2 linked regions of the Bombyx mori genome follow. The protein of the gene in region 1 purifies or fractionates together with the protein of each later gene. This does not show direct contact. Links are inferred from orthologs where the notes say so. Each region holds a gene or a part of one and is shown in the gene's direction. Other genes may lie near its edges. The genes, in order: contactin and neurexin-4.

The links.
Region 2: the proteins of contactin (region 1) and neurexin-4 purify together in Drosophila melanogaster (affinity purification with western blotting; 4 studies listed by BioGRID). This does not show direct contact. The link is inferred for Bombyx mori from reciprocal best matches to the Drosophila melanogaster genes Cont and Nrx-IV.

What each region holds. Positions count from the first base shown.
Region 1 is NC_085115.1:12,546,391-12,558,354, reverse strand, and holds contactin, read left to right. Parts: upstream 1-4,359; 5' UTR 4,360-4,738; intron 4,739-4,967; exon of another isoform or gene 4,968-5,240; intron 5,241-5,319; 5' UTR 5,320-5,322; coding exon 5,323-8,745; intron 8,746-9,074; coding exon 9,075-9,260; intron 9,261-10,277; coding exon 10,278-10,598; 3' UTR 10,599-11,292; downstream 11,293-11,964. Other genes in the region: uncharacterized protein LOC101735345, read left to right, coding at 12-223, 479-669, 967-1,191; uncharacterized protein LOC101747003, read right to left, coding at 11,361-11,964. UniProt on the Drosophila melanogaster protein: Required for organization of septate junctions and paracellular barrier functions.
Region 2 is NC_085115.1:15,824,349-15,836,314, forward strand, and holds the start of neurexin-4, read left to right. Parts: upstream 1-6,364; 5' UTR 6,365-6,508; coding exon 6,509-6,575; intron 6,576-6,768; coding exon 6,769-6,882; intron 6,883-9,510; coding exon 9,511-9,707; intron 9,708-10,126; coding exon of another isoform or gene 10,127-10,323; intron 10,324-11,966. Other genes in the region: cytoplasmic dynein 1 intermediate chain, read right to left, coding at 1,365-1,495, 2,549-2,739, 3,114-3,227. UniProt on the Drosophila melanogaster protein: Seems to play a role in the formation and function of septate junctions.

The sequences.
Region 1 (11,964 bases):
ATATCTTACAGACCTCTGCACGAGGCCTGCGAGAACTGCCACGTCGAGGTGATACGTCTGCTTTTGGCGTACGGCGCTGACCCACTGCTGGGCACCTACGCCGGACAAACGCCCGAAGAGTTGACGGAGGGCCAGGCGACTAAGTTCTTACGACTTCACATCGCTGACGTGCAGGGCCAGGCCATCGAGCCGTGGAGGTTTCCACCACCCACGCACGTCATAGGTAAGTATTTGTAATCGACAACATGCTATTTAATCAATTTTGAAATATGTACCTTTTTTTTTTTTAAACGATGGGGAATCCATTTACTAATACCCGGTCAAGGGGGGTAACGAACCGGGTTATGTCGGACTCCGGCACCTCCCGAGAGGAAGAGGGAGCATTTTTGTCTCTATCTAATCGTTGGTAACCTAACGAGCTATTCATGTAAAGGGCTATTCATTCCTATTATTTTTTAAATGTTAAAATTTATTTCAGATTACGAAGAAATAGGTTGCGACCCGTTGTCCTCCCCGCCGCCCGCGTCGCCCGCGCCTCCTCCGGACGCGACCATAGAAATTCAATGCACAGAAGCGCCACTACCACCCTTCTATAGTCTCAAAAACGGGTCCGGTCAGCCGTCGGATGGTCTCTGGTGCCTGCTACAGGACATTACTAATTTATTACAGGTGAATAAGGTCGTATTTTATATGAAGTAACAGTTTAAAAAGAGATGATTTCAAATTTTATAACAGCACAATCAAGGGCATATTGCAATTGATAAATAATGTTTCTAATTATATACAACAGAATATCTCTAGTAAGAAAACTTGATTTTATTTATTAATAAAAATAAATTAGTAACAAAAAAATATGCAAATATTTTCGACCAAGTATGTACTTATAATACAATACGATTTTCCCACACTAACCTTACCCAAACATTTATCAAACAAACAAATAAAACTGACGGACATTACTTTCAGATAAAATCAAAAGACAGTCTACTGAAGCAAATCCATTGCGGATCTGGTTCCCCGAAGGAGTTGCTTCGTGAAATACGAACCCAGGAGTTCTTGGAGCGAGCGCAGTGTCACCAGCTCATCTGCGCCGGCGAGAAGGTCAACATCCGAGCCTCCAAAGTGGCTCTGATCAGAGTCACGGATAAACTGCGGCAACTCTTGAAAATAGAAACAGTGCTTGTTAGCTGACATTAATTTTAACTCACAACCCTCGACGTTTGAAATGAAAATCTCATGTATCAGCATTCAAGAAATGAAAAATAAAACAAAATTAATACACAGTGCTTACTTACTATATGTGTCGAGATTCTTAGTTCGAAATCGATCATTACTAAATATTGGAAGTCACAAATTGTAGGGAAAAAACTCGATATTTGTGACTTGTTCAAGTTTAACTCAACGACGTCGATAATGCTCGGTTGGTATAAATAAATATGTATGATTAAAATAAATGTTAAATCGTAGGAGTTCAAATCGAACTCAAATATTCCAATATAAACTTTATTAAATTGAATATAACGACTAATTCTTTATCCGGATTGACAAATTTATGAAATGTGTATTTGTGGAGCTTTTGGTCTATCAACGATGATTTTGTTTCGTCGCGACCAAAGGGAATATGCTCATTCGCTCACAGTATTGGAAGCAACAGAAGACAGTTCAAAAGATCTTCAACTCTGGACTGACTACTGTAACGTAACTTTGTATCTCATTTAAGAACAATATTCTGTTATATTAGTTTCATGAGACTGTATAATTTAAGGGCAGCCATTGTGTAATCATTAATTTCATTTTTCTGTTATGATCTAGCTTTTGTAACGCTTCAACGATCCGTTGAAAATGACTAATTGAAATTTTGTCATTACGTTTTATTTACGGATGTTTTGTACGAAATTATTTGAACAACTGCTGTAAATATTGTATATAAAAATTAAAAAGATTTCTTTTGCGTATAAATGTTGCTTTAAATGTATGATATTCTCATGGGTGCTATTTAAATTGGTGTATGGTTTATCGGGTAGTGTAAGTATTTCGCTTGCTGCGTTTAGTTCTGTAAGTAGATTTTCATAGTAAAGTAATAGTTACCATAAAATAAGTTGTTAGCATAATCTTTGTGTGTGCAATAGTATACGTGAGAACTTAACACGGTGAGAATGAATTTGATGCGGGCGTTATGTCAGTCACAGGGTCGGATTAAAGCCTTAGAACGAATTGCACTCGGTGTCATCTAATGAAGACAAGCGCACTTGTCTTGTGCGCGTAAAGCACTCCAGTGCAGTCGTCTGATAACTGCACTCTCCAGTGATATGTTCATTTAGTAAATTTTTTGTACATCACCTAAGTACAGTTATAAAATAAATAAAAATTGTTGGGATTATGCTAAATAGAAAATTTGCAATCTATAAATAAAAAAAAACTACATATTATTATATATATTATTTTTTGTTTCCTTGTTATGTTTGCTAATGTTCTTTGATCGAAATATGTTTATAGAAATATTTTTCTTTATATGTAAAACATATGATTTATGTTTTATTTAAAAAAATATATTATATTAAATCAACTTTTTTATTTTTTATGAAATCAAATTATAAAGCATATCTACTGTAAATAAAATTGAATAATAATTAAAATAACAAAAAACTATTTTGTAATTTATTAAGGAGCAAAATCAGAATGCACTCAATGAAATCATGATGTATTGAATAATTGATATAATAATTTAAACTCTGATATTTACATATTATTTTGGGATATACGAGTATTTGGCGTAGCACGAGGTCATAATCCGCCCTAATATCCTTCTTTGTGGAGAATATAATGAAGAAGTACATTGTTGATCTGTGATGACGTATTATTAGTGGAAACTATCATGAGTGCGGAAATGGTGGGAATTTATTGAAATAAATGTTGTAAAAGTGCTGTATGTGTACTTTCCGAATGAAACACGCGTAATACTATGTTTTAGCATTATCTACAATGTAAGTATTATTGTAATTAATGACACATTTCTTGTTGATAATATGGAAAATAAAAATGTGAATGTTCATAATTCAATAAAAAATGATTATTTAAAACCTTTCATTTCTAGTTTTATTTACATGAAAACAATAATCTTTGATAAAATGTTAAGTTGAAACATAAAACTGAATGTTGAGACATAAAACTAGCAAAATAGGTAGTCTTCTTCGTCATTAAATATTGGTGTTTTTCTACCCTAAGGTAATGAGATTTTTTCCATAGAGGTAACTCTCTTTTCGTAAACTATGTTCTTAAACAGCGACATTTATACACTAAACTTATATATAATATACATTCATCCATTAAGTAATTTAAAAAAAAAGGCGTTTAGAGCACCGATAACATACTACAACTCAGGTATTAACTACTCAGATATTTTGTTACCATTTATTCATTATAATCAAATAAATGAATCTCTAATCAAACAGTCGATTTTTTTTCTTTTTTTTTTATGATTGAGGGATTATTGGTGGCCCGGAGGCTTTTACAGTTTTACCAGAACAGGTGAACGAGCAAATAGGGGCGGAATTTGCTAACAGCTACCCGAGCGCCTTCAAAGGAGGCCTAGCAACTCAATAGTAAGTACCTAACTGCTTCAGTCGATTTCTTTAAATCATATCTACACTACTGAAAGCCAGTCACGTTTCTTTTTTTGCCACCTATTGCTAATAGCCGGTGCTTGGAATGCATAAAAGCACCTAGAGTGGATCCGGAGTATCGGATACTAATGTGTCTCTTGAAGCCACACGTCGCACTTTGATGATAATTATGACAGAAAACTTCCTTGAAGTGCTATGTGTCACTGTAACTGTTTTATTGTATTAGCACAATCTTTTAAATGGCTTAGGAATGCATAGAGGGTAAAGATGCAAAAACACAAAAAATATTCCTTTTTATTATTTACACTAAACTATTTGGGTGAATCTGGAAAAAAACCAACTTTATATGCCTTGAATACTATTTTCTTAGATGTCTAATGATTATTAATTAATAAAAATAGTTAAAATTTCAATATTCAGATCGAAAGATTATATAAAAAATTTTGAAACTTGATTTCACATCGTGCTACAAAGAGAAGTTATATTTAAATTATACTTATATCATTTTTAGTTTCATTGGTGAAATTTTACAATAAAGGTTTTACATGAACAAAAATCGATTCAAAAACAAATCAAATATCAGATATCATACTAATATTTAGACATCAGTGACATCACTAAGTGGTAGCTTGATTTTCCTTCATTCATTTTACGCAGTAACTATTATACTAATCTGTGCATTCATTCTACTTTCGTTCAAAAGCATACTTGGTAAATAAATGAAGCTAAGCGACAATTTTAATTAAAAATATTTATTAAAAGGTTAAACTACATACAGTTGTTATTATTACAATAACTTTTCCGCGCGAAAATAAATTTCACATAACAGCCTCAAGACTTCATACGGAAAGATCACGATAATTATGAAAAAAATGACGGTTGATTTACTGTTAAACGGACGATTTTCTTGTTGCCACTTTAACTATTTTTAGACTAGTAACTACACTTTTTAGTTGAAATGTTTTATGGTTAACCCAAAAAGGTAAATCATGCTTCAAGATATAAAAAAAAAGAGAACTACAACAGCCTAAAATGTTGATTAGTGCTCAATCTAAGGAAGGAAGAGCTAGAAGTGATCCGTGTCAGAGCGATAAGTTATTTCGTACTTAAATAAGGTTATTTTATTATTCCTGCGTACATGTTTATAATACAAATAAAAGGTTTTTTATCTAAATGGCAAAACTAGAAACGACATATCAATAAAACCTAATGAAAGCGACCTTATATGTTAAAATAGTACTTACTTGGTTTTGGTTAAAACCATCACTTTCATTAGTATTCGTATGTCATAGATATTACTAAAACTGCTTTTACTTTTCGAACACTAAAGTTTTCGCGGCTACGTACGATTGAGTTCTACCGTAAAAGTAATGTTTAGGATGTATGCGATAGTAGTTTTCGAGTAGCTCTTTCAAGATCTTTAAAAGGCGTTACTTTTCAAAACGAAACGTGGCAACACTGCATGACGGAATACTGATTTGGGCGAGGCTGCCTTGTTTATAATATTTATTATTTTTCTTATTCGTTTATGAAAATATAGTGCAGAAGATTAGTTTTACTAAACGTAGCATTGGAATTGTTTTGAACAATATAAACACGTTATGTCTAGTCAATAAGGTTTGAAAGATTATAAATAATGACGATAAAAATATTCGATTATTATTTTGAATGTAATGAATTTTGTTATTATTCACAGAAGATGAAGTGTACGTTCCTTGTACTCGCAGTTGCGAGTTTGGTGAGGACCCAAGCACCTGAAAATGGTATCTATAATCAGAACTATCCGGAAGGAAACCAGAATAATACACAATATCGTCCCGGGCCCCAAATCCCTTACGGCAGTTTTCCCGTAAATAATGAATATCAACAGCCACCTCAAAGCTCTTTCTACCAGGACAGCCTCTACAACAGTGACAGCTATGCTGAAAATGAAAATGATGTCGAAAATACTGCGAGTGTATATGCTGGCTTAGATTACGAAGAGAAGTACCGATGTCCACCCAACTGGCTCCGCTACAAAGAGTCATGTTATCGGTTTACGAAGTCTCCTGATCGTCCTAGAAATGAAGCAAGAAAAATATGCCAAGCCTATGAAGCTGATTTAGTAGCCGTCAATAGCCCTGAAGAACATGGTTTTATAATAAACAATTTAATGAGGCTCGACCCTCAGAAGGGTTCATGGTATATAGGAGCTCACCAACAGTCTCCAGGTTATTGGTCCAATGATTATGATGGTTCACAGTTGACAGGTCTTGAGAATGCTTTCTTCGACGATCGACAATTTTCATTAAATAGTTATAATATATTTCCTAAAGATTTTTTGGTATACAAATTTTCACATCAAGATGGACGCTGGGGCTTAGCTGCTGTAGAAGGTACACAATATTATCACTTTATATGTGAGGGGCAAATGCAGCGTTTACATTATTTAATAGAAGAAGAAAGATCATTCACTTATGGCTTAGATACTTATGATCCAGAAAGGATTCCGAGAGGTCCATATTTTGTAAAACAGCCGGAAGATACTGTTTATGATCCTTTAAGAAATCATTATGTCCAACTTACTTGTATAGCAGGAGGATTTCCAGCTCCAACTTACAAATGGTTCGGAGAAGATTATCAAGTTGACAGTCCAGTTTACACAGAAATAGATCCTTTAGCTGACAGTAGGATTATATTAAGTGGAGGAACTTTAATGATTTATAACCCTGACAGTGAAAAGGATAATACAAAATATCACTGTACAGCTACAAACAAGTTTGGTACGATTAGATCAGAATCTGTCCGGTTGTCATTTGGATTCATAAGAGATTTCAATCAAAAGAGGCCAGTAGAAAGTGGAAATCAATACTGGGGTAAAGTAATGTATTGTGATCCTCCTTCGTACTATCCAGCTGTAAATATTCTGTGGGCTCGGAATTATTTCCCTAACCTTGTGGAAGAAGATAAACGTGTCTTTGTGTCATATGACGGTGGCCTCTATTTCTCAGCTTTAGAAACAATAGACCGAGGCAACTATAGTTGTAATGTAATGAGTAAAGTGTCTGATGAAGGCAGAAATGGTCCATTCTTTCCCTTACAGGTTTATCCGCATTCAGATTATCAGCAATTGAAATTCCCAAATAGCTTTCCTAAAGTATTTCCTGAAGCTCCAGTGGTTGGGCAAGAAGTCCGCCTGGAATGTGTCACATTTGGCTACCCAGTACCTTCTTATAATTGGACCAGACAGAATGGCCTTATACCTAAAAAAGCTCAATTGAGTAATTTTGACCGGGTTTTAACAATACCCAATGTAGGTGTAGAGGATGAAGGCGAATATATTTGTGATGTTCACAATGACAGAGCGAGGATATCAAATAGTGTGTATTTAAAAGTACAAGCTGAACCAAATTTTACAATTCCTCTTGGCGATAAACATATGGACAACAAAGGAGAATTACATTGGAACTGTGAGGCATTTGGGATACCAGATGTTAATTACACATGGTGGAAAAATGGTAAAAAACTAAAAAAAGATAATCTAGAACCACAGGACCGTGATAGGTACATTATTCAAGACAATGTTTTGATTATAAAATATTTAGACCCAACAAGAGATCCTGGAATGTACCAGTGTGAAGCAAAGAATCAATTGAAAGCTAGTTACTCGTCAGCGCAATTACGAGTGCTCTCTTTGAAACCATCATTTAAAAAACATCCTTTAGAATTGGAGACATACGGTTCTGAAGGTGGAAATGTGACATTAAAATGCAAACCAGAAGCTGCCCCAAAGCCAACATTCACTTGGAAAAAAGACAACATAGTTATTGGGGCAGGAGGAAAAAGATTCATTACCGAAAATGGGAATTTAATTATTAGACAACTTTCCAGAGATGATGAGGGCGTGTACACATGCGTCGCAAAGAATCAATACGGCACTGATGAGAGTAGAGGTCGTCTAATTGTCTTACGTGCACCACGTTTCCTTGAAAAACTCCCCCCTCGGATCACTGCACAAGTGAATTCAGTAGTTTTCTTGCACTGTAATGCCGATGTAGATCCTATTTTAGATACAGCGTATCTATGGAACCATAATGGCTTGCGGATTAAAGACTCATCAGATCTGTATGTCAACAAAAGAATAAAAATTGACGGTGGTGAGCTAACTATTTACAATGTAAGTCTTTCGGATGTGGGAGATTACGAATGTGTCGTTAAGTCCGCTATCGGAAGAATCTCTTCTCATGTGCAGCTGCGTATAGAGGGCCCGCCAGGTCCGCCGGGAGGCGTACAAATACTTGGCATACAGAGGTCTTCGGTGACCCTAGAGTGGACCGACAGTAACTCAAACGGTCGCCCTATAACTGGATACATGCTGACCGGACGCACCCACTGGAACTCAACTTGGTACGTGATCAGCGAGAATATACCCAACGTAATGGAAGTCGATAGATACAATGGGCGTAAACGAGCCACTGTTTCCACGACGCTTCTACCGTGGGCCATATATGAGTTTAGAATTCAAGCTATTAATATACTGGGTCCGGGGCAACCGTCCGCGCCGAGTCCGCAGTTCTCAACGTCGGGAGACAAGCCCTATGAGGCGCCCGCGAACGTTAGCGGCGGCGGCGGGAAGACCGGTGACCTCACAATCACGTGGACGCCCTTACCGACCTCCCTCCAAAACGGACCCGGCATACATTACAAAATATTCTGGCGCCGGAACGGCTCCGAAGTCGAATTTCAGTCCTTGCTTCTTAAGAAGTACGGAAACATCGGGACATACGTCGTGCACATATCTTCCACGTATTTCTACACGCCGTACGATGTCAAAGTACAAGCCTTCAACGATATAGGTCCCGGGCCAGAGAGCGAAGTAGTAACCATTTATTCGGCGGAGGACATGCCGCAGGTCGCGCCGCAGCTGGTCTCCGCGCGGTCCTTTAACTCCACAGCCCTGAACGTGACCTGGAACCCGATCGATCAGTCGCGCGAGAGGCTGCGCGGCAAGCTGATAGGCCACCGTCTCAAGTACTGGAAACAGGAGAACAAAGAAGAGGAGTGCATCTACTATTTGTCTCGAACGACTCGAAATTGGGCTCTTATAGTTGGTCTCCAGCCAGATACATATTATTATGTGAAGGTATAATTTATATTTGATCAACTATGAACTTGAACTTTACTGGTGGTAGGACCTTTTGTGAGTCCGCCCGGGTAGCTACCACCGCCCTGCCTATTTCTGCCGTGAAGCAGTAATGTGTTTCGGTTTGAAGGGTAGGGCAGCCGTTGTAACCATACATGAGACCTTAGAACTTATATCTCAAGATGGGTGACGCATTTACGTTGTAGATGTCTATGGGCTCCAGTAACCACTTAACACCAGGTAGGCTGCGAGCTCGTCCACCCATTTAAGCAATAAAAAAAGAACATATTATTGGTATGCGTGTACTATCACAATAATGTGTTCCCCAGGTGATGGCGTTCAACTCAGCGGGAGAAGGCCCGGAAAGCGAGCGATACTTGGAGCGCACGTTCCGCAAGGCGCCACAGAAGCCCCCGGCCTCCGTCAACGTGTGGGCCCACGACCCCACCACCCTGCGCGTCGTGTGGCGGTATGTCCAACCCACCAACGAGGAAGAACCTCTGCTCGGATATAAGGTTAGTGTTGCGGAGTGCCGTCGAGCACACACCACTAGTTTATAAATAGGAAAACTGAATTAACAGACTAGAAAAATGTAAGGAGTTGTAAATGTTTACTGGTGGTAGGAACTCTTGTGAGTCCGCATGGGTAGGTACCACCATCCTGCCTATGTCTGCCGTGAAGCAGTAATGCGTTTCGGTTTGAAGGGTGGGGCAGTCGTTGTAACTATACTGTAACCTTGAGAATTTTTATCTCAAGGTGGGTGGCGCATTTACGTTGTAGATGTCTATGGGCTCCAGTAACCACTTAACACCAGGCGGGCTCTGGGCTCTTCGATCCATCAAAGCAATAAAATAATAATAATGTAAAATTAGAAATTTAAAACTGTTGTTTTATATATATTTAAAGAATGCCTTCCATCGATTAGTAAAATTAATGCGAAAGAAACCTTAAAATGGCTGACATATATATTGTTTTACAGTTTTTTACAGTATATTGTAGTTGCAAGTTATCCAGAAGGATACATAAAATTATTATTATATTTATTATATATTTGTTAATGTTGCAATTAAGGAGTGTAGTTTCAAACGTTGAACAATTATTACTAGTTAGGCATTCGACATCCGCAACGCCTTTATATTGGATCTTCTGCGCTCTCTTCTAAACGATAAACTAAAACAGTTTCAGTAAACGAATTACAAGGTTGTAACTATAAATATAAATCAATAAACTTCAAAACGAGACGCAAAAATATATCGTGGCCTAAATAGATAGGATGGTCATAAAAATTGATGCGAGTGCTCAATATAAACCTCCAATGCACGTAGTAATGTTTTCTTTTACTTTTGTATATATATTTATGTATATATATATATATATATTTTTTATTGCCCTTGTAGGCAGACGAGCATACGGCCCACCTGATGGTGAGTGGTTACCGTCGCCCCTAGACTTCAGCAATCTCAGGGGCAGAGCCAAGCTGCTGCCTACCTGTATATACCTATCTGTATATACTGTTATTTATATCGTTTTAGGTACGATTATGGGAGCTCGACCAAGACATGAGCACAGCGAACGATACCATTGTACCGATCGAGCACAAACTAGAGGCCTACATCAGCAACATCATTCCGGGCAAGTCGTACAACCTTCGCGTGCTGGCCTACTCCAACGGCGGCGACGGCAGGATGTCCTCCCCAACCATCGCCTTCCAGATCGGAGACTACCATTCCGAAGCGTACGGCTACTACGCGAGAGGATCCACGTCCAACCATCGACACAAGCCGGTCGAGTTTCTACTAGCATCGATATTTCTTGTTTATTTTTGTGTAATCCACCATCGAAGTCTCGATTAAGTTGAAATTCTAAGTTTCTCCATGACCATTCAAGTGAATAAGAAATTTCATATTTTGATACTCCGTTCTATTTCGTAGTATGTCAGTCAATTTTATTTTGTTAAAAGTAACTATTGTTACACAAATATTTACATATTTTTTTTTTTTTGTAATTTTATTTTATTCCGCCCATGTCAAGTGATTATGTAACTTTCTATCACAATATTTATTTTGTTTGATCTGTATATTTTGCACTGATTTTTAAATGCGATTTTGATTTTTTTCATATTTAAATTGTAGAAAATTAATTTTAAGTTTAAATGTAAGTTGACAATAAGTGTATGTATCGCAATAAGTATAAAATAAAATATGTTCATTTCACCTTTAGTTGAACTAAGACTCAGAATAATGTTTTTGGGTACGGCAGCTTCAATTTGAACTATATTTTTATACAAATAAATGATACATTGAAAATATGAATGGTTGTAAAAGAAATACACATTTATGTATTCTAAGATATGGGTAACATAATTTTACTACTCAAATAGAATCTCTTAGCTTTTAAGTAATGATAGATTGCAGTCTATCGATAATCCGAGCCATTTTATACCTTTTTTTAAATTATTGAAAATACCCATCTGATTTTATTATATTAAGGGTATTTTAAAAATATAAATTTTCAAATATTGATCAATAAATACATTTTTTTATACAATTCGTTTTAATATTCAAACAACCTGTTTAGTAAAATTCGTAAACTTTATTCATGTAAAAGCATTTTAATCATAATTTTTTAGATTTACTTTTACATTTCAAATACTTAGTATCATCAGAATGTGAATTATCAAAGTCTTCACTGCTTTTTCTTTTCAATAACGAATTATCGTTTGCAGATGTCGACTGCTTCAATGGTTGTAGACCGACAGCAAAGGGAATTTCGTTTCCTTCTCCATTCGTATCGATGTTACTTAATTCGGGATCAGCGCTCCCCACATCACTAGACTCGTGTAGTAAATTTTCAATCGACTGATCTGCTTTTGCATCGATATTATCAGTCAAGTCCCTTAAAGGTTCTGGGAATTGTTTTTTTATTTGATCGCGCGATACTTCAGCACTGAAGTGGTTATGATCATTATTGGAATCCTTGTCGATACTATCCCAAGGATTTTCACTTCTGTTGACATCATGATTTGCCTCTGATGTGGCGTCCGAGTCATCGAACATGTTTATACCAAAGTCTTGAATGTTCGATCGTCCACTAGTAATTTGTTCATCAATAATATTAGTTTTGTTGTCGGTTTCCATTTTATTCTTATGAACATTCTTTTCCAAATTCATTAGATCTTTGATTATTTCGTCACGCTCCTGATTTGCACGTTCGTTTTCG
Region 2 (11,966 bases), about 3.3 Mb from region 1:
ATTAGAAAAAGGTAAATACTGTCACATTTCACTATGGATGTCATTGGTTAGAAAATATTTGCAAATAAATACTTTTAATGAATTTCATTAGATTCTTACATTGATATGATGAGTAGGATCTCAATTAAATTATTTGATGTTTCTCTGGACGACCATATATTTACGAAGTGCTTTTACTCCATTAACGAGAAAATGTGTATGCAGTTAGCAAGTCATTAGCTAGATAAACACTGTGTGAATGTTATATATTTTTATGGATCAAAGTGATATACCTATTCAAATATTTGAATTGTTTTATTTGCAAATTTTTTGTCGTTAAAACCATCACCCAGACATCCTGATTAGGTATGATTTTTTTTTCTTAGTTTTAACACTGTCAAGGGATGCAAACTCTCAAACGTTGTATAGATGAGAAAACAAAAAAATAATAATGAAATGCAATTAATTAAACCCAAAATGAAAATAAAAAAACACAGTTAATAACAACAATAATAATAATATTAATTAATAGATGGTGTTTGAGTGCTGTAAATTAAGTTATTAGTAATTGGAGAATTTGCATTGTCATCAATAAACACTTTTACGATTTGAAATTGTGATTATCTGTGGTGACTGCGCGGCTAATGTCAAATATTGGAAGCGCTAAAAATTATTACGATTTAAATGGTAAAAGTGTTTGTGAACGCGCCGTGGAAAAGTCTAGAAAACCGAATCGTTGTATTCGAACCAAATTAATATAAACGATATTAACAACATTTGTAATTGATGTAGAATGGATTCAATATATTGAGCATAAAACGGACATAAATTTGTTATGGAAATACGTTTAAACGCCAATTAAATAATTAGCACATTTAACCATAAGGGGTTGTGCCTAAACGAAATTAGTTTACGAGATGGTCTGCTCTGTTGAGACAAATGGCTACTGCCTTATCTGTCATCCTCTCCTAACATATCGACGCTTGAAAGGCAAACGTGACTAAGCGACTTTTTTTTTTTTTTGACTAAGCGACAATGCGCGAACTTTACAGTAGACTAATTTAAAGTTGAAATACCTGAAAACAAAATTTATTTTAACGAATCTAGATGTAGTAGAATCTAGCTAGTACCTGTAGGATTGAAATGATTTTAATAGACCTAGAAATATATTTTTTGCGCATCGAATATGGTTATTGCTTATCATTTATGTACAGAGCAGTTATTGTCGCTTAGTCACGTTTGCCTTTCAAGCGTCGATATGCTTCACAGATTTTGCCGCTCCGGTAACGGCTTAGCACCAGATGGGCCACGAACTCGTGGATCGAACAACTACAATTACATTCTACATCAACCACAACACAACAACAAATAATTTGATCACATACCGTCACGTAGTTCGGTGACGCCCGACGTGGTGGTCTGCGTTTGCTTCGTATAGATCACCGTCTCCTTGGGCGGTATGTCCGTGGACTGCACGAAGACGACTTGTAATTCTTGAGGTTGCTTCTTTGGACCGCTGGCGGGATTCAGGAATAGAGATATATGTAAATAACTGATAAACACTATGCCTTTTTAATACGCTTTTATTAGCTTCAGACGTATGTATGTAACGGAATCTTTGAACATGATTTTGACCCCCTTCAAAACATTGGATTAACTGGAATTTTGGTATACTTATTAAGGACCGATGAAAATTTAATATAAAAAAAAATTAAGATTAACTAAAAAATAGAAAATAAATTTTAATAACTTTGAATTAAAAATAGTGCAGGAAAAAATGATTTTTATAAAAAAAGCGTGGGGTGCATGATATCAATAGTTATAAATATTTTATGAACAGATATGAGTAGAAGGGTTGTTTTGATAATATCCTGAAAAGCTTAGTTTTTTTAAACTATTATTTATTTTAAAGTTTAACAACGCCTAATCGCTATGACTCATCAATATGAAATGCCACAATATTGCTTATATTGTTCTTGTTTAGACATCACTGACCATGACAACTCGTATGCGGAAAAAAACTCAGTCAGTTTTCAAATAAACATGTTCAGCTCATCACTGGTGATTGTCGAACAAAAATTATGATAATACTAATAATCATTTACTCGAAATCGTCGTGGCCTAAAGGTTGAGATCGTTAAGTTCGTATCTTGCGATGCAACGGTGTTCGATTCCCGCGGGCAGGTACCAATCTTTCTAATGATATACGTACTTAACAAATGTTCACGAATAACTTTCATAGTGAAGTTATTAATTGTGTAATAAAAATCAAACCTGCAAAAATTCTAATTTGCGTAATTCCTGGTGATAGGGGCCTTGCCTACCATTCTGCCCATTTCTGCCGTGAAGCACTAATGTGTTTCAGTTTGAAGGGTGGGGCAGCTATTGTGCTATAAACTCATGCCTCAGGGTTGGTGGCGATATCTATATTGTTGTTTATATCTATGGGCTCCGGTTTGCACTGAACACCCGATGATCCGTGAGTTCATCGACCTACCTAAGCAATAAAAAAAAGTTTCTAGAAAGAATTAAAAAATTCTTCAGCTCAGAACTTATTTAACTAACTAACCCTTGCAATTGTAGGCTGGCTTTATCTGTATGCGGTAAACTGGCATCTGGTGAGGCTGTCTGAGGTGGAGACAGTGAAGTCATTGATGATAAAGAAGAGAGGACATCCTTAACTGGAGCCACTCCAAGGGAGGACAGCATCTCGTCAATGTCACGACGACTGTCCAGGCTAGATGTGGCCGATGCCCGTTGCTACAAAAATATTTATTTGTTTAGTCACATCTGTGGGATCAGCAAATTTAATCTAATTTAACCAAGATATAATGTAAATTTTTATTCTGGCTACATGGATAAATAAATCCACCTGGTCGTCAATTGGTTAACAGAGACCAGAGACATCACATCATGAAAGTTCTTATTCAGTTTGGAACAAGAGCTTGAAATAGGCACAATGGTGGTATCTATGTCATCCTCTCGATCTTAACTATCAATTATAATGAATTTTTTATGACAATTTGATAAATTTGTACAGGAATCCGGTCTTATCCCATTTGAGCACCATATTAAGCTCCTATAGCAAATAGATGCCTCCTAAATTTAGTTTGTTGAATAATGTTATTACTGACCAGTGCTTCTTCAGCATCTTTCTGTTCTTTTTCTCTGCGGCGCCGATCTTTATCCTCTCTTATGGCGCGGAGCTTCGCCTTCTTTCGCTCCAACTCCGCCTTCCGATCCGACATGCTCAACGTCTTGGTTACTGCAAAACATTAAATTTTGATATCTTAACGGGGTTACGAAATTTTGAGTAACTTTTGTCTGAAAATTTTTAAGTAAATAAAAATAACAATGAAGGATCTTAATATTATTTTAAAGAACTAAATAATCAATTCTTAATAAGTTTATGTAACTCAATGCTATTTTGCCATTATAACAATAAATACAATGGCTTGTTGGTTATTCATGGAGTAATCCGACTAAAAACTAAATATAGAGTGAGGCATTATTTGATGAATGACACTTCTCACATTCACTTATTTTTAACTTAAGTTCTCAAAGAAATTGAAATAATTAGTAAGTTTGACCAATAACACATTGTGAGATTACCACTGCCGTGCTGGATGTGAATGCCAAGAAAAAAGATTGTGGTTGTAGCAGACAAAAACAAATATAATGTTTTGACAACCACAAGGTGTGATTTTTCGCTTGTTTTTTTTATTTTATTGCTTCGATGGGTAAATGAGCTCACAGCCCACCTGGTGTTTAGTGGTTACTGGAACCCATTGACATCTATAACGTAAATGCGCCACCCACCTTGTAATATAAGCTCTAAAGTCTCCAGTATAGTTACAACGGCTGCCCCACCCTTCAAACCAAAACGCATTACTGCTTTATAGCAGAAATAGGCAGGGTGGTGGTACCTACCTGCACAGACTCACAAGAGGTCCTACCACCAGTAAAATGTCCTAAATACATTTTCTATAAAAAAGATTGCAATTATCAATCTGCTCAGTGAGCAAACTCAAACTCATAATAGACACAGCCCCACTAGACTAAGCTGAAGCTATATACTAATATATATAACAATACTGAAGTAACACAACAATAAACAGACAACGTTTCACAGGTTATCCTGGTGTTCATTATACAAAGTTTACGAAAATTAATAGAACAACTTAGGTGAATACACACTGGGCCTGATATAACTACTGAGAGAATTACCATTGAAATGCAATTAAATTGTTGGAATGTTTCATTTGGTTTTTAAGAATACACAATGAAAATATTAGGAAAGTTAGGCAGGGAATTTAACATTGGTATTGGTAGATGATGAAGTCTCAGTTTATAATCAAAGCTTGTGTATAAATAGCTTATTTCTAAATGGTGTATTTAGGATTTTATTAAGTTAAAATTACAAAACAATTGAGTCAAAAAATTTTTAAACCAACATTATTAAATTGTCAATGTAGTAGTTTAATACTTTATTATCTGTTTAAAACATACAATTTACATTTATATATTATATTGTTATTACAATTTAAATTACTTTATGTAACTTTATTGATTGATGAATGATGATGTCATAATTTGTATATAAGACCGTATTATACGCTGAGGCCGAAATTTTGACTTACCTTTTAATAAACACAGCCAAAATATCTACATCAGAGTCATATTAATAATTATACAGAATAAAAATGCCGACAGAACGTGGCAAACAGATGATGAGTAACGGGATGTTCAATGAATCCTAGTTCCGAAACGAAGATCTTAGCGAAAGGTTCATAAATTCGGTGTTTTTTAGAAGCTGTTCCTTTACTTATCAGTAATTCCGGATAATTGTAGAATAAATTTCAATAAATCAATACAAGAACATTGTAGATCCGATTGACTCAGTTGTTTTTTACTCTTTTTTTATTGTATCTGACATTTCGTTCAATGAAATGAACGTCAAACCTCCTTAATAGTGATCTATGCGTCAACTCGGTAGAATAAAATTTCAGAGACTATTTGGCGGGAGCGCGAGAAGTGAAGTTGTGTGATTTGTTTATTTTGTCTATTTAGTATTTCTTCAGGTTTAAATGTGTAATAACGGTGGTTTATTAACTGTTTAACTTCTGTGAAAGTGTACAACTGAAAAAATCACAGTAAATGACCACCATTTTACTGAGATTATATTTCATCCCATATCATCTTATCTCATTTGATTGAATTTCATCCCAGTTGATTAATTTCTCAAATTAATCATCTTCATATCATTTCTTTTCACTCCATATTATCAGTTTTCATAAAAATAGGAATATAAATTAAAATAAGACATGACCTTAAGGTCTTAGTTACCAGGTCATAAAATCCCTTAAAAAATAAAATTTCACATAATTTTAAATAAAATTCATGGCAATTGGCGCATTGAGAGTCTTTTGGTGACCTTGAGGAATTAAATACCTTCGGTAAGACTACTTCGGAATGCACCACGAACCTCCCCCAAGAAAACCTCAAGAGAACTAATTAATGTGTCTATCTTGGATCAACTGCAGATCAAGACAAGACTGTCTACATTCTGCCTTCGCAATGCACTCGCGTACTTCGGTCATATTGCTCGGAAAACGGCCGATAGCCTAGAAAGACTACTCAGGACAGGGAAGATCGAGGGAAAGAGACCGCGCGGGCGCAGTCCGACAAGGTGGTTCAATCAAATCTGCACCACACTAGGGATACCATTCCACGACGCCCTTCATGCGCCCAACTATCAGAGGCGCTGGAGTTGGAGGGACATTGCAAGAAATAAAATCCTGTCAAAATATGTTGGTCACGACCCTCAGCAGTGAGAAAAGGACGCGAGGGGAGGTGCCTTGAGAAGCCGTGAAGCATTGTAATTATGCCATTGTTGCTAGGCAAATTTATGACATCTTTAGTTAACATTATGCAAGTACTATATTAAATGAAATGAGTAAGCCAAGTTTAATTTATCTGTAATTATAATACTGGATAATATTTATTGACGGCTTACATAGGTACCGACTTTCAGAGTAAAAATTCATGTTTTATTATTATATACAATAAGACAACAGTAATTAGATAATTTCAAATTTTTTTATGTTCTCCACCCATCACAAGTTACAAGTGACACAGTTTGTTATCTAGTTTACTAAGTTGTGTATATATTTTTTACGTGCTGAGATTGTTTTATTTTGACTAACTTCTAGAGCATTAGAATAAATTTTAATTCTTTTTTATGTAGTCTGCTTATTAAAATACTTTACTAAAATTTGGAGATTTCATTTATTTCAAAATCAATTGGTTTGCGTCAATAAATTTTGACCGTTACTTTAGTTACAAATTTTTGTGGTAATCTTGATAAATGCTGGCAGCACTACAAGGGTGTTGCCCGGCGCCGGTTTATATGACAACTGCCCAAACTGACAACGTTCGTAATGATCAAACACTTCTTTTATGTTTAATTTTAATTTTCGAGTAATAAACTGCAGCATTGGTTTTCTACTACATTTAATATAATTATGAAATGATGACTGGATTTCAGTATTATTTATTTGTTTTGCTTTGTTATAGCATTACAAAATCCGGTGCAGGTTAGTGTGATAACCCGCTGATTTTTATTCAAAAACAGTTCAAGCGCAATGGGCTTATTTTATGCATCATCCGATCTTTGAATATTTAGAGCGATTGCTAAAACTCGTACACTTTTCACTCCACAACAAATTGTTTTAATGAAACTTGGTTTTCAATAGCTTCTCATGATCAAATATATTTATTATTTTTCAGATTTCGTGCGTTATTATTACGATTACGAATGCAATGAGCCTTTGGTAGCTAACTCTAAACTATCGGCTACTTCAAGCTTGCGTGATAGAGGACCCGAGAATGCTAAGCTATATGGTAAGAAATAAAAAAATATCGATTTAATACGGGCTTTAACATAAACGTCGTTTTGAAAATGTTGTGCTGCTTAATGTTAGACCTTAAAATCAGCTTAACTTAAAAAAGGCAAAAAGTACACCTGCAATCACTGTTTATATCACCTGATGAGTGTAATTATCAGTTGATGAGTAAAAATCGATTTTAAGTTCCCCTTAAATTGTTCTTTTACAAAATCCATCCCAAATACTAGGCATCATTTTGATTTCCTATTTGCAGGAGTGTCTTTTTCCAGTACTAGCTGGAAATGTTTTTTTTTAAAATAAGTACGGTTTAAGTAGAAGGGATGAAAAGCTATTTTGTTTATTCTAAGCTGTTACTATTTTGTTATATTTTAGTCAATGGTGCCTTAGATTTCAGAGTGTGATATAAGCTTTATAAAGTGTTATTTAAATGATTTACAGTGAAATAAATGGAGTAGTATTGGAATCCTCTGTAATCATTTAGTGTACTTCAAATTAAAGAATAAAGTGTTTTTAATGATGCCTGTAATTTTTGATCACTCTTTAAAAATATCATGAAATAAAGTTTAGTAATTAAAAAGTTATGGTTAAGTAATTTGAAAAAAAAAAATGGTTTTCATCCCTTTATCAATTTTTGACTTACTTAATTTATTGTGAAATTGTTGTGTTCATTTTACAATTTGAAAAGCTTTATGTTTTTGTGTTTGGAGCATTTTATAAAAGCTCACAAGGCTTGGTTTTCACAGTATTAGGTAGTATTAATCATAATAAAATATGGTACAATCATATTTTAATTAAAAACTGAGATATATCACACATTATTAATATGTTATATATACATCATAGAAGTTTTTAATGGGTCAGTTGAAATGGGTGGTCAATCAAATCTTTTACAAATAAATATATGATATATATATAAAGACTTAATATTTTTCTTGTTACATAAATGGGTGAATGATTTCACAACCCACCTGATGTTCAATTATTACTGGATCCCATAGACACCACAATGAGAGTACTATGCGCCTTGAGACATGAGATAATGCCTCAATTGTATAGTGTAATAGATGTCAAACTTTTCAAATCAGAATGCATTACTGTTTTGTGGCAAATTGAATAATTCCAGGCATTTTTTTTATTATATAAGTAGCATCTTTGTGCTATTTATAGAACCATATAATGGTAGTAATACTAGTTTAATAATAAATATTGCTCTGCCAATTTGTTGTAATGGAAAATGTAAGGCAAAAACTTTAAATTGATTCGAGGCTACAAAAAATAGCTACCATATTTTATCACTACTTTGGTATATTGTTTGTTCTGCTTTACTTTAAAAGTTCACTAGATTACACAATCAATCATTTGAATGAATGTTTATTGCATGTTAAAAGTTTTTTTCCAAGTGTTTTTTGATTATTTTGTAGTTATAACATATTAAAAGAACAATAAGATTAAATAAACAGAAAGGACCTGAAACCATATTTCGTTGGTCTGCAGGTCCTCAAAACTCTCTGTAATAGGACCCCAAATTATAAATATTGCAGAGTATTAACAAAAATGGCCAACAAAGGCAATGTGCGATGGGCATTTAATACACGTGAGTGGCAGCCAACGAAAGAAGAAATATTATTGGCTTCAAGTTATATACAAAATGAAGAAAAACAGAGGATATCCAGATTTGTCTTCCAGAACGATGCTAAATCGTCACTTATTGGAAGACTCATGTTAAGAAAGTATGTACAGACCTCAACATCGACTCCTTATGATGAGATAAAATTTGGTAGAGATGACCGTGGGAAACCGTTTTTGCTTAATCCTATTGATTTGAAGATAAGTTTCAATGTTTCTCACCAAGGAGACTTTGTGGTTCTAGCTGGATGCAAAGATTGGAATGTGGGAATTGACGTCATGAAAATTGAGCCACCTGTGAACAAGAATATCCCAGAGTTCTTTCGGATCATGGCCAGGCAGTTCTCACCACGAGAGTGGTCGACTATACGCAGTTTTTCAACTGAGTTAGAGCAAATTGCTTGTTTTTACCGTATATGGTGCTTAAAAGAAAGTTACGTAAAGAATGTGGGGTTTGGTATAACTGTTCCTTTGGATGAAATCAGTTTTCAACTGAAGAGTTTACATTTAGAAATGGGCAAAATTGTTACTGATACTGTTCTCTATGAGAGGAATGCTTTGAAGGAGGATTGGATCTTTGAAGAGACATTGCTCGATGAGAAGCATGCTGTAGCTGTGTCTTTGCAAAAGAAAGATAATTCAACAGATGCGCCAGTATGCTATGAGGTTTTGTCTTATCAAGAGCTGGTTGAGGAAGCCAAGTCTTTGTGTAGTACTGATGAAACATTTAGTGATGAGTTTGTGAAGAAACAATTGAAGAATTTTTAATAATAGCGTGTATTTAGTCTATTTATGGGATATTTAGTTTTTAAATATTAATAGCATTTTATGGGGTCTGGTTATATTGTAATTTGTCGGGATTTAAGCTTTTAAATGTGAGACTAGTAAATTATATATATTAAAAAGAAAAAAAAAATTGTAATTAAAACTAACACCAAAATGAAACTAACCTTACAAGGAAGGATAGAACGATTTAAAATAAACTTTTGTACACAAGGTACAAACGCTTGGACTGCTTCGGAGAGTGATTTCGATCAGCAACTGATTGTTGACTTTGGCAGTGTTAAGAACATAACCAGGATCGCAGTGCAAGGTCGGGCTCATTCCCAAGAGTTTGTCCAGGAATACCATATCAGCTATGGATCGAATGGCCTAGATTACGTACAGTATAAAGCTCCTGGTGGTGAAGTGAAGGTAAAAATATAAATTTTTCAGCAGAAAGGTGCTGGTATGCATGTTTTTGGTTTTGTAGATTCTGTAGATAATGCAGTAGATAGTCAAATAATGTTTCAATTGGTGTAAAACTGTCCCCAAACACTTCTTTCTAATGATAATAATATTTCAACATCTATCTTATAGCCCTTAAATGCAGAATAATTTTACACAACGGTCAAATTAAATATGGTTGCAGCAAGCAGACCTGTTTTTGATAAAAAAAAATTTCAATGTCATGGTTAAAAAAAAAGTAATCATAATAAATTCACTGATGTAAATTTTTTATTGCATTCGGAAATTCATGCATTAAAGGGTTATTTTACTAAATAAAATGTAAATATCACACTGTAAATAATTACACGGTTTGGTTACTAAATTAACTAACTGTAACGGTGAAGGGACATCGGCTTGGACGCCCTTCGAGAACTCGTACTACCAGCATCTGACCCTGGACTTCCACAAGCGCGTGGAACTGCGCGGTATTGCCACAAAGGGGAGGTACGCGACAGACGAATATGTCACGGAGTACATGCTTCAGTACTCTGACGACGGGGAGAGTTGGAAACTTGTGGCCAGGAGGGATGGGTACACGCAGGTATTGTATAACTATAGGTGCTTGGCTTGACACTTAGAGTTGCTGGAGCCTATCAATGATATGGAATAGAAATTAATAGTTGCGACCACAGTTATGTACATAATATTTAATTTTGATTGTACAAATTAATTTTCTTTATAATAACCCAACACTATTAAATTATATTTGAGTTAAACATTATTATTTAATGCCTGTTTTTTTATATTTAATAGTAGTTCATTGCATGTAAAGTATGATTGTGGGACCTACATATGCAGAGCCACAGCATATAGTTTAGGACTTTTACTGTACTTACTTTAATGTAATAATGTTTAATGAATGTATGAGTATGAATGTAGTAGTACTACACTAGTACAATAAAATACTTCCTTGACATTCATTAGTTGACATATGTATTCATAGATTACAAGAATAAACTCCAGTCGGGCATCGGAGCTGACACTCACATATTTTCTTTTAAACAGCAATAAATCTATTTATTTGTTTTTTCTGTTATTTGACCTTTGCGCTTAAATAAATAAATATGGAACCTACGCGGTTCGAGAGGTGAAAGGCTTTTTTTTATTGTTTAGATGGATGGACGAGCTCACAGCCCACCTGATGTTAAGTGGTTACTGGAGCCCATAGATATCCACAACGTAAATGCGCCACCCACCTTGAGATATAAGTTCTAAGGTCTCAGTATAATTACAACGGCTGCCCCTCCTTCAAACCGAAACGCATTACTGCTTCACGGCAGAAATAGGCAGGGCGGTGGTACCTACCCGCGCGGACTCACAAGAGGTCCTACCACCAGTAGCTATTTGGTTTAAGCGACATTTCGCTTAATACGCCCCATTTAGCTTTGTAATTGCGTGTAATTTGATACTAGTATGAACAATTTGATGTTTTCAATTGAACATCAATTATGTTCACCACGTTCAAATAGCCTGTGCGAAACAGCAACGCTATTTTCCTCACCGCGGCGGAAGCGAGGGAGAGGCGTGGACTTACAAAATAAAACGACGTGCATCAACGAAAAATACAATCATTGTCGGTCCCGTAAAATTGTACTAATTTTGATCCGATTTAATAAATACAGTCTACTTTTGTTCGAATAAGCCTTGCACCCAACATCTCATCCCAACGGCGCCAGCATAGCTGAAGAAGTTTTTTTGTCATAATATTTTTACAAAACTTTGAACTGTAAATGGCACCTCTGTAAAGTTACAAAAATGTCGTTTAAACCGTAACGGTCTTACACCCGTCGATATGATCTGATTGGTATGATGGACATATATCGAGGTATCATACTTCACACAATCAACTGGCTTACATGTCGGTAGTCTGGCAAACGATTTATGTAGAATAATAAAGCAGGCAGCAGCGTGATAGCTAAAAAATAAGACTATATTTTAATGTAGTAAACTATTGTTGGGTCAATCTACGGCACCTCTGGTATATGCATGCATTTAAATTACTTTGTTAGCAATTATCATGCTTTTATCTATCTCTACTCTGTGCGGAATATTTTGTTTTCTAAAATTTTCTTCAACACATCCACATTTCTGATACCTACACACTATATTGCTTGTGGCAGTGGCAGAGGGGCTAATATTTTGAGTAAATTATGTTTAGGTTTGGACAGGGATGATGAACAAAAT